2 linked regions of the Arabidopsis thaliana genome follow. The protein of the gene in region 1 purifies or fractionates together with the protein of each later gene. This does not show direct contact. Each region holds a gene or a part of one and is shown on either strand. Other genes may lie near its edges. The genes, in order: SGT1B and GME.

What was found.
Region 2: the proteins of SGT1B (region 1) and GME fractionate together in Arabidopsis thaliana (co-fractionation; one large-scale study listed by BioGRID). This does not show direct contact.

Annotation. Positions count from the first base shown.
Region 1 is NC_003075.7:6,850,515-6,855,600, forward strand, and holds SGT1B (phosphatase-like protein), read right to left. Parts: upstream 3,399-5,086; 5' UTR 3,206-3,398; coding exon 3,046-3,205; intron 2,719-3,045; coding exon 2,649-2,718; intron 2,544-2,648; coding exon 2,419-2,543; intron 2,311-2,418; coding exon 2,184-2,310; intron 2,106-2,183; coding exon 2,009-2,105; intron 1,891-2,008; coding exon 1,825-1,890; intron 1,746-1,824; coding exon 1,607-1,745; intron 1,482-1,606; coding exon 1,402-1,481; intron 1,316-1,401; coding exon 1,211-1,315; intron 1,109-1,210; coding exon 1,001-1,108; 3' UTR 670-1,000; downstream 1-669. Other genes in the region: AGL52 (AGAMOUS-like 52), read left to right, coding at 1-53; AT4G11270 (Transducin/WD40 repeat-like superfamily protein), read left to right, coding at 3,947-5,086.
Region 2 is NC_003076.8:10,861,509-10,866,828, forward strand, and holds GME (GDP-D-mannose 3',5'-epimerase), read right to left. Parts: upstream 3,439-5,320; 5' UTR 3,218-3,438; intron 2,537-3,217; exon of another isoform or gene 2,518-2,536; 5' UTR 2,517-2,517; coding exon 2,107-2,516; intron 2,021-2,106; coding exon 1,924-2,020; intron 1,847-1,923; coding exon 1,717-1,846; intron 1,631-1,716; coding exon 1,498-1,630; intron 1,420-1,497; coding exon 1,212-1,419; intron 1,120-1,211; coding exon 964-1,119; 3' UTR 508-963; downstream 1-507. UniProt on the Arabidopsis thaliana protein: Catalyzes a reversible epimerization of GDP-D-mannose that precedes the committed step in the biosynthesis of vitamin C (L-ascorbate), resulting in the hydrolysis of the highly energetic glycosyl-pyrophosphoryl linkage.

The sequences.
Region 1 (5,086 bases):
ACAACATTCCTAACAGCTATTGTTTTTCTGACAACTCAAGACTTCTCTGCTAACAAATCTGTCCAAAAGGATTTGTTTTTTGAAGCTTCATTAAGAGTCAGTCAATACTTATAAGTAGGAAGCTGATCAGAGAGAGATTGAAGCTGTTTTTGCTTCTGAATTCTTCCTGCTACTGTCTTTTTTTATTTTACAGTGTTGTTATAACTGTAAAACAGATCCATTTGTGGAGATTTTGTTTTTACTTTTAAGTTGGTATTTCAGTTAGTATTATATATATATATATATATATATATATGAACTTCCATAAAAGTCTTTCACAAAAACTTGCATGAAACAAATTATAATCTAAAATCACTTATGGTGACAAGACTGTTTCAATTGGTTGATACAACCTGCAAAGTGAAATCCTTTACTCTTGCATCTTATAACAAACTTGTAACTTAGTATCCTTCTTGTCTGAATCAGCTAATATATACATGAAGATGGAAAGTAGCTCTGATTTCGTGAAGACAAATTCTCTGCACCCAATTACTGTGGCGAGTTTGACAATGCTGGTGCATTGATGAGTGTTGATGATAGCTTAACATGTTCATTTCAAATCCTTAAGGCATTTGAGAAGAAAGAAAGATTTGGATTCAACAACAGTGTTCCTAGACCAGGAACCCCAAAGGTGAAAATACTGTCTCACTATATAGATGCACATCGGTTTTAACTAAAGAAAGTTGGGCTTATACAACTAACCTTTTAGACCACAATGCAATTATGTCAAGAAATATTTAGATAAGCCTCTCGATAAAAGAACAAAGTTCCAAAACAACAGACTTGCGAGTTTTAGTTTTCTAATACAAAATCAAAGTATCAGAACGTTCTTTGAGACCACAACGCAAGAATGGAGAGAGACAAATTCGAGCAGAAACCAAAAAAGAAAAACACCTTAAAAGTTCAAAAGATTTGTCAGACTTTTTTTTAACAAAAACCAGAAAAGGGGATTTTAAGAAGATCAATACTCCCACTTCTTGAGCTCCATGCCATCTGGTGGAGTGCTCTCCACTTTCTTAGTCCCAACTTCTTTCCAGTTTGTCGACAGTACCGTCCCATTCGACTCTGCCTGTCAAACCCAAAAACCACCCGAGAGGAAAATCTCATTAGTCGAAGAACAAAGCAGAGTTATTAAACCAAAATTTTAAAGACCAAAGATAGATTTGCTCACAAATGATTTGTTCATTGCCCGCCTCATGTCTTCATCTGCACTCGAGTATATGTCGCTGAAAAATTTGTTCATAGCTGCATCTCCATCAAGCTTCTCATCCTTCTCCTGCGAAATTCAAAAGTGATAAGCAGAAAGAACAAAGTACAGCAAAGCCTCTAGTGTTAAGGATGAGAAGTTAGCGTTTGTGGAACCTGTTTCTTCACTTCAGCTTCCAACTTGTCCCAGTCTTTTGCTGGCTTAGAAGATGGGTACACTGGTCTCTGCGACAGCGCTGCATATGCACATAAAATCAAATGAGAAGAGAGAGAGACCACTTTGGGTTCAGTTTGTTTAAGGTTTTACGATTGTGGTTCAGAATAAAATAGTAAACGTAAGCTGGTATCTTCTGAGACAAACCTGATGAGACATTGGGTTTGGGCAAAACACTTTGCCCTTTACCATATTCAAGGGAGGCCCAGGTGATTATCTCTGCTTTCGCAAGACGGATCTCAACTTTGGTCGACAATACTTCAAATCTGCACTTCTCTGGTATTATCTGAAAAACACCCATGAAGAAGGATTTAGTAAAAGTGTGTGTGAAAACACCGTAATTACATATGTCAAATAAAATATACCTTCCCGAACAATCTCGGCTGGAGATGATAAGCTTCCTCTCCAGCAACATCAATGACAACACTCAGCTGCACCAAAATAAAGCCAAGATAGACATCTCAAATCAATACAGTGTTAAATTACAAAGAGAGATAGTTTCTGAAGTTCAGATAAAAGTCATGAATTCTCTGATTGAAGGATACTCACAATCTGCTCACCAAACTCGACAGTTACGTTCTCCTTAGGTACTTTTTTGGCGAAAATTGTCACCACCGCTTCTTCTGGTTTCTGGTAGAACTCGTGCCTGTTGAGCAATAAAGTTATGAGTATAAAATGATTCTGGAAATTAAAGAAGAATTTACATGTTAGATAACCAGACTACCTGAACATCGGTTTGGCAGGTGCTGCAGGAATTGGAACAGGAGGAGCATCAGCTTCCGTTGCTAGTGGTGTTGTAGAGCTTGAAGGCAAACTCGGTGGCATCGGCTGAACCAAATCTTTCTCTTCTTCTGAACAGAGATACAAAGACTATATCAAAATTATAGCCCTAGGCGCAGACAAATACCCAAAATCGTTTAGTAACTAATTTCTTAAGCTATGGAGTTGATGTAACATACCTGCAATACGAAGATCGCATTCATCTATCATCTTCTTAAACTTTGGTTCATTCGGTGCAACAGAAGCTCCCTTTTCCAGGGCTGCTTTAGCAGTACTATATTCTTCTAGCTTCATACAAGCAGTGCTGCGAACACAGTAGCAAAGAATCAGAAGATAGAATTATAATTCCAATCAAATTTGAACATAACATCAAATCATTCACTACAGAGAGATGGTGAAAATATCATACCCCTTTCTGAGATAGGCTTTTGCCAACGTTGGCTCCAACTCAATGGCTTTGTTCGCATCTACAACAGCTTCTGCTCATAGAAACCACAAAAAGATAAAATATCAAATCAAATCATCAAACAACAACAATTCAATCAAAGTACAGTAACTACAATTACAATTACTCAAATAAGTTTTCTTATCCGAATCAACAACCTCACAAAAGAAACCCTAAAACTAAAACTAAACCAAACCAATAACAAAAATCAAAACTTTGTTCCACTATCAACAGATCGAATTAAAGTAACGACAAAAGAACAAGACCCAGAACCCCAAAAGCGTCAACGAAGCAATACATCTAATAAAGTTTCAATCTTTAACGATGATATTAACGGTAAGGAAGAGAGTTATATTTATACCAGTGAAGTTATCGATTTTGATGTTGGCCTGAGCACGATCGGCGAAGAAGGCGGCGCAATTGGGATCCAAGTCAATGGCTTTGGAGTATAAGTCAACAGCAACATCGAAGTCATCATCTAGAAAAGCTTCTTTAGCTTTCTCTGCTAATTCCTTGGCCATTGATTCTTATCAGAGGATTTGAGAGAACACAAACAAGTCAGAGAGAGAGAGAGATTATAGAGAAAGAGACCGATTCTATTCCTCTAGGCTTTTTTTTTTTTTGCTGTGTTTGGGATTTTTTTTTTCTTTTAAGAACGTTTTAATACCTCTACTAGGTCATATAACCAAAAACAAAAAGGTAATTAGATTTTATTTTATTTTCTAATTTCCTTTTGATTTTATTTTTTAACATAAGATTGATTCTTGATAAGTCCAGATTTTTTAACAAATAAATTAGTTGACAAAAGAATAATACTGAAAAAAGGAAAGAAAACTAATGGTAAAGATATTTATAGAGAACTACAATAATTTAAAATAATCATTTTCTACTCATTTTGTTTATATCGTAATCGTTTACTCATAGTTTAGCAAATACAATGTGATTTGTGAATTTAGACTATGATATATTTTAACAAGTTATAATTTATATATTGACTAGATTAGGACCCGTCGTCCAATACACAGATTTAAGTATTTTAAGTTGATAATAATCTAGTAAAGTTAAAATATCAATTATCAAACTTTTGCCAAATATTTACCTTAAAAAATTTATTTGCAACCTCGAAAAATCCATCTAAATATGTACAGATATATTTGTCGTGATTACTGTTACGACGTCGTTTACCAGTTCGTTCTTCCTTCTTCTCTCACCCCGACTCGTTCACTGACTCGGTCGATGCTTGTACCGCTTGATTCAAGCCGATGAAGTGCCGATCTGTGGCCTGCCTATGGTCTCGTGCTCCTCCGTCTCATCGGGTCACCGCCACAGCCTCTCTAACCAATCCACCGACTCTCTATACCGGTGGATCCGATGGGTCAATCATCTGGTGGAGCATCTCTTCTTCTTCCGAATCCAATTCTGTAACTCGTCTCCCTCATCATGAGATTAAACCGATTGCTATGTTGTGTGGCCATACTTCACCAATAGTGGATCTTGCTATTTGTGATCCTACAATACTTTCAAGTAATGGAGTTGTTGCATCAGATAATGGTAATGCGGATCCATTTGTTAACTGTTGTGCATTGATCAGTGCTTGTACTGATGGTGTCTTGTGTGTATGGAGTAGAAGTAGTGGTCAGTGTAGGAAACGAAGAAAATTACCTCCTTGGGTTGGAAGTCCATCGATTTTGTCTACTTTGCCATCAGAGCCTAGATATGTATGTGTTGGTTGTTCTTATATCGATGTTGATGGGGCTGAGACTTTAGCAGATACTGATTTTCAGAAGTCGAGATGCACGGTGGTTGTTGTTGATACTTACACTCTTACTATTGTTCATACAGTTTTCCATGGGAATTTATCTATTGGTTGTTTGAATTTTATGGGCGTGGTTCAGTTAGATGAGCAGGAATCATTGCTTATGGCTGATTCGTTTGGTAGGTTGCAGTTGGTCTCAGTGTCAGAGAAATCTGAACCGAGCAAAGGCTCTCTAGTGTCTAGAAACTGGTTGAGTGAAGGGGAAATTGCTGTATCAGTAATAACTCGAGGGGATCTTGTTGCGTTTTTCTCGAAGAGTAGGTGTGTCTTTTGGTTGTTGAATCGCGAGGAGGCAATAGGAGAGATATCTTTTGTTGATGATTCGCATTCTTCAAATTTTCTGTTCAAAGAAGCAATGATACTTTACTCTAGTACATCAACTATTGAAGGTGATAAAGATGATAGTATTTCTGAAACTTTTGTGCTGTGGGATGGTAGTGGTTCTGCTGTGCTGTTTACTATGTCATATATAGATGGTGAATTTACATATAAAAACTTCGGTGAGATTGTTACTGCCCCTGATGATAAGCGTTCCGTGAAATCAACGTTTTGTTTTGTTCAGTTGAGGCAGAATCTTCTTCGCGTT
Region 2 (5,320 bases), on another chromosome or scaffold:
TCATTTGAGAAGCGACACGAAGAAGAGTGAGAGCAAGAGCAAAACCACAACAAAAAATTGGGTGATTGTTGAGTTGATGATTTGAAATATATCGATTGTCTTATTTTAGATGCATAAATGAATATTTGTAGTATGATGCTAACGTCAAAGATTTTTGAAAAAACACTGATAACATATATATTCAAAGAAGCTAACAATTGAGCCGAAAGTTGCTTAATTGTTTTGAGATTTTACTATGCTTTTCCTTTTGATTTAGTGGTTTTTTTCTTAGTTTTGGATTAAGTTTAAGCTTTATTTCCTTTGATATTATTTAAAATAATAAAAAAACATTATATGTTATGTTATAATAATATCGTCCTTATCTCATATTTGTTTTTTGATAAAATGTATATTCAAAATTTAAAATAGTAAATACGTTATTTTTCGGATCATCTCGAGTCTAAGACCAAATCTTAGAACATGGATAAAAATCTCAAATTTTAGATATTTTGCTGATCGGGAGAGTTGCATAAAAAAAGCAATATATAAACTTAAAACCTTATGATTTATTACGTGTGACATTTTTGACCGAGGAATGGGATAAAGAAGTGGATGGAAGAGAAAGAATGGTGAGTCACCGTGAGTGATCCCTAACCTCTAGAGATGTGTGAATAGATGATAAGATGCAAGAAAAAACACAAGCCACTTACTTGTACTGGTCCGTGAGAGGACCACGACATCAACTTGACTATGATGATAAACATACATACTGTGAATGAAAGGACCACAATAATATGATAACAGACTTAACAATGCAAGCAAACTTTTTCAACTAAACATAAACAAGGATTAGCAGAATAGAAGGAACCAAAATCCAAAACACTTATTATTGCTTTTTTAATAGGAAGCTACCTAAAAATATATCTAAACATTTTGCTGAACTTAAAAGGCCATATTTGAGCTTGACTTATACTTTGGTGAACTTCACTCTTTTCCATCAGCCGCGCGGAGTGAGCCTAGCTGAACCGGTGCTTGAGTTCCAACCACCTTTGATGACCCGTAAAGCGACACATCGCTTCCCTTTGCTTTCTCTTTCTCGATCTGTTCCTTTATCCAGAAGTAGGTTATTCTAAGCCCCTCCTGTTTAACGATTATGGTCAAAACAATATCAGTAATAAAAGAATTAGATTATTATCTTGTCTTTGAGCTACTTAAGTAAATAATGTTGGTACCTTCAATCTCATATTAGGAGCCCAACCAAGCTTTTCTTTGATCAGATTGTTGTCTGAGTTACGACCACGAACACCTTCCGGGCCAGGAATGTGGTGAATTGGAAGCTTCTTTTCCTCAAAGCTGAGAACCATCTCAGCCATCTCATTCATGCTCACCATCTCATCGCTTCCGATGTTCACCGGCTCACGGAAATCTGATTTTGTCAACCTATAAAACAAAAATGACGAAAATATCAGCCAATTACGTCTAACATACAACTTCATCAACATCAGGAGATACCCTCACCTGAGTACACCTTCAACACACTCATCGATAAAGGTAAAAGAACGGGTCTGAAGCCCATCTCCCCACATCTCAAACCTATCAGTGGAAGTCTGAGCCTTCCTACAGAAAGCAGCTGGAGCCTTCTCCCTTCCACCTAAGTTGATCCAAGCAAATATTAATCCCAATAGTAAACAACTAATCATTCACACAAAGTACGGAAACTGTTTATCTGTATACTACCTTTCCATGTTCCAAAAGGACCATAAATGTTATGGAACCTTCCAATTCGACACTCAATACCAAAATCTTTGTTGTAATGCTTACACAACTCCTCCGTAGCAAGCTTCTCCAAACCATAAGCATCTTGAGGCTATATCAGCATCAAAACATCACATAAGAAAAGACTCATAAATCTTTAGCAAGAACATATAAAAAATAATCACAAACCTCTGCAGGCCAAGCATCTGACTCCTTCAAGCTCACATTAGTAGTCTCCAACTGCTTAAACTCTGGATAGATACAAGCACTCGAAGCATAAAAGAACCTAAAGCAAACAAAAAATCCAATCTTTTTAACTTGTTTTAAGAAACCGTAAACTGCGAAAACCGAAGAAAACAAAATCTAACTAACCTCTTAATCCCATTGATCCTAGCAGCCTCAATCATATTGAAACTAATCATAGTATTATTATACATAATCACAGAGTGATTACTCTGGATAAAACCCATACCACCCATATCAGCAGCTAAGTTAAAAACATGATCAACTCCTTCAGTAACTTTGAGACAATTCTCCATAACCCTAAGATCAACAAGATGGAACTCATCACAGAACATGTCTTCAGTCATGTGTTCATTCTTTTTCCAGTCAGAAGCAATCACGTAATGACCTTCGTGCTTCAAACGACGAGCAATGTGAGATGCAATGAAACCTCCAGCTCCTGTTATTGATATCTTGAGATTCTCAGATGGCCAATATTGCTCTCTTTCTAGCTCCTTGTATGTGTATGCTCCATAGTCTGTTCCATTGGTAGTTCCCATTCTACATTAACAAAACAAATCTGTTAAAAACAATAAGATCTCTCATGCAAAAGCTAGACATCACTGTAGAGTCCTAATTTGTGATAAATTTCTATAAAAAAGATTTGGGATTTAGAGAGTTTTGACAGAGGTAAGATTATTGATGCATTGGATTCCGGCGTAAGTTAGCGAAAAACACAAAACTGCGAGGCGTAAGTTAGCCAAAAACACACAAAATTGCAAAACAAATCTGTTAAACACAATAAGATCTCTCATGCAAAAGCTAGAAATCACTGTAGAATCCTAATTTGTGATTAATTTCTGTAAAAAGATTTGGGATTTAGAGAGTTTTGACAGAGAATGCATTGGATTCGGTGTAAGTTAGTGAAAACACACAAAATTGCGACGCTTAAGTTAGCCAAAAACACACAAAATTGCAAAGAAATATGTTAAACACAATAAGATCTCTCATGCGAAAGCTAGAAATCACTGTGGAATCCTAATTTGTGATAAATTTCTGTAAAAAGATTTGGGATTTAGAGAGTTTTGACAGAGGATGCATTGGATTCGGCGTAAGTTAGCGAAAAACACAAAATTGCGAGGCGTAAATTAGCCAAAAACACAGAATTGCGAAATTCGGATCTCAGAGAAGTTTTGATTCAGGAATCTGGGATTTTAAAACCCTAGATTAGTGGAATTGTAAGGAAGATTGGATCTTTTACCTGAGGAAGGTTTTGGAGAGTTGGAGAGATCGAAGAGATAATGCAGAGAAGAGTCAGAGATTTGAGGAAGAGGAAGAGTAAACTTGTATTTATAGAGAGAGAACAGAAGAAGATGAAGAGGAAGATGGAGAGAGCAACACCACTCGTTGTTTTAGTTTTCCAACTCCTATTGGTATTTGTGCCTCTTTCTGTTAAATTTATTTTATAACTAATAAAATCCTTCGAAAAAAAAAATTAATACTTCTTTTGTAGAGAGTTTTTTAGAAAATAGGAGATTTTATAGAAGATTTATTACTTTTTATTAGGTTTGATGATTTATATTATGCATATTATTTTTACTATTTGTTGAATCGTATTTAGATAGATAATAAGAAATGTTTTAGTTTAGAAAAAAAAAAAAACTAAATATTTTCTTTATTGGTGCACCAAACAATTTCATAATTTTTTTATTTTCTAGCTTCAATATATAAAAATATTTGTAAATAATAAATATATGTATATTCTATATATTAATTGAGAAGTTTTTTTAATAAAATATTTATATTGGCGTGTTATTAACGAAACCGTCATGTTGTGATTCTAATCCATTTAAATAATTGTCCAAATTTTACTAGATTATTACAGATTTTTCAATTAGTCTTATTCATACATATATATAATACACATTAAAAGGAAATTCTTATAAAATTCAAATAATTAAGCAATTAATCTTTAAATAATTATTATTTTGAGAAAAATTACTTTAATTTTTGTTATTTTCTAATTAACTAAAACACTATTTAACATATTTTGTATTTGCAAATAATAGTACATCTTCATATATTAAGAAATGTGTTGTAATAAATTTTTATTAAATATATAATTATTTTGTTATTTTAGTGATATATACTGTATTGAATAATTATAATGTACACATAAAAATATAAAATATTATTTATGTTTGTTTATGACATAAGAGCAACCATAAGTCCATTTTTGGAGTTTGAAACTGAAGAGTAAATTAGAAAAAAAAATCTTAAATTAAAATATAATATAAGTTAGATTGATGTTAAAAATTATTTATATAGTTATAGTATATATATAACCTAAACTATATTAGTTGGTTGAAATATTTGAAATAATAATGATTTTAGTAGTATTTTAAAGTTCATAACAATCAAACGGTCGAACCGAGATCAAACTGATTCGAGTTAATGGTCAGGTAGATTTTTATTAAACTTGTAAACTATCAAACCGTATATAAAACCATTAAAATGATTAAATACGTTTGCGAGAAATATAAATATTTAGAGATAGGCGTAATTCTCATTCAATTTTATCATGTTCCATTATATCTTACTCGTTCTCCAATTTATTTCTCATAAGAGAATGCATTTCTAATATGAGAAAAAATTTGTATTCCGATTAGAAACAGAACGTGATGGAAGCAAAAATTCTCTATATCCTGTTTGGGACAAACACAAATATAATTCATGTATATTTTTATATGATATGATATAATAAAAATATTACAAAATTAATTGACTTCTTTCTTCTTATTGTTTAATATTTTGTTCATAAATATTAAATTACATTTGTTTATTTTTAAATTTTAACTATTATAAAGCATACTATAATAACATTTATTATTTTGAGCATTTTTATGCTGTATAAATTGAAAACACATGTTACATATTTGATTGCAAACGTTAATTTGCTTAAATTGTAACTTGTTGTAATCTAAAAGCTATGTTTTTATCCCGTGTTGGCTCCTTCTATGTCGTTCCTTTTTCGTCATTCCTATTCTCGTTATATTACATTAAATATCATGTTCCGAGTTCATTTTTACTTATCTTTAAACACAATACCAGATACAGCTGTAACTTTTGGGGATTAACATATGCTTTGTTAAAATTTGTAAACATACCATAAATTAAAACATGAAAACAAATTGAAAAAATAAATGATCTATCAACTATAATATGTCATACTCATACATTTGTTCTTGTGTACGTGCACATATATGAAAACAAAATTATATTTACTATTTAATATAAATAAATAAACACCGACTTGATATATTATCTCAAATCCAGAAATCCTCTTGTTGATATAATATATAAT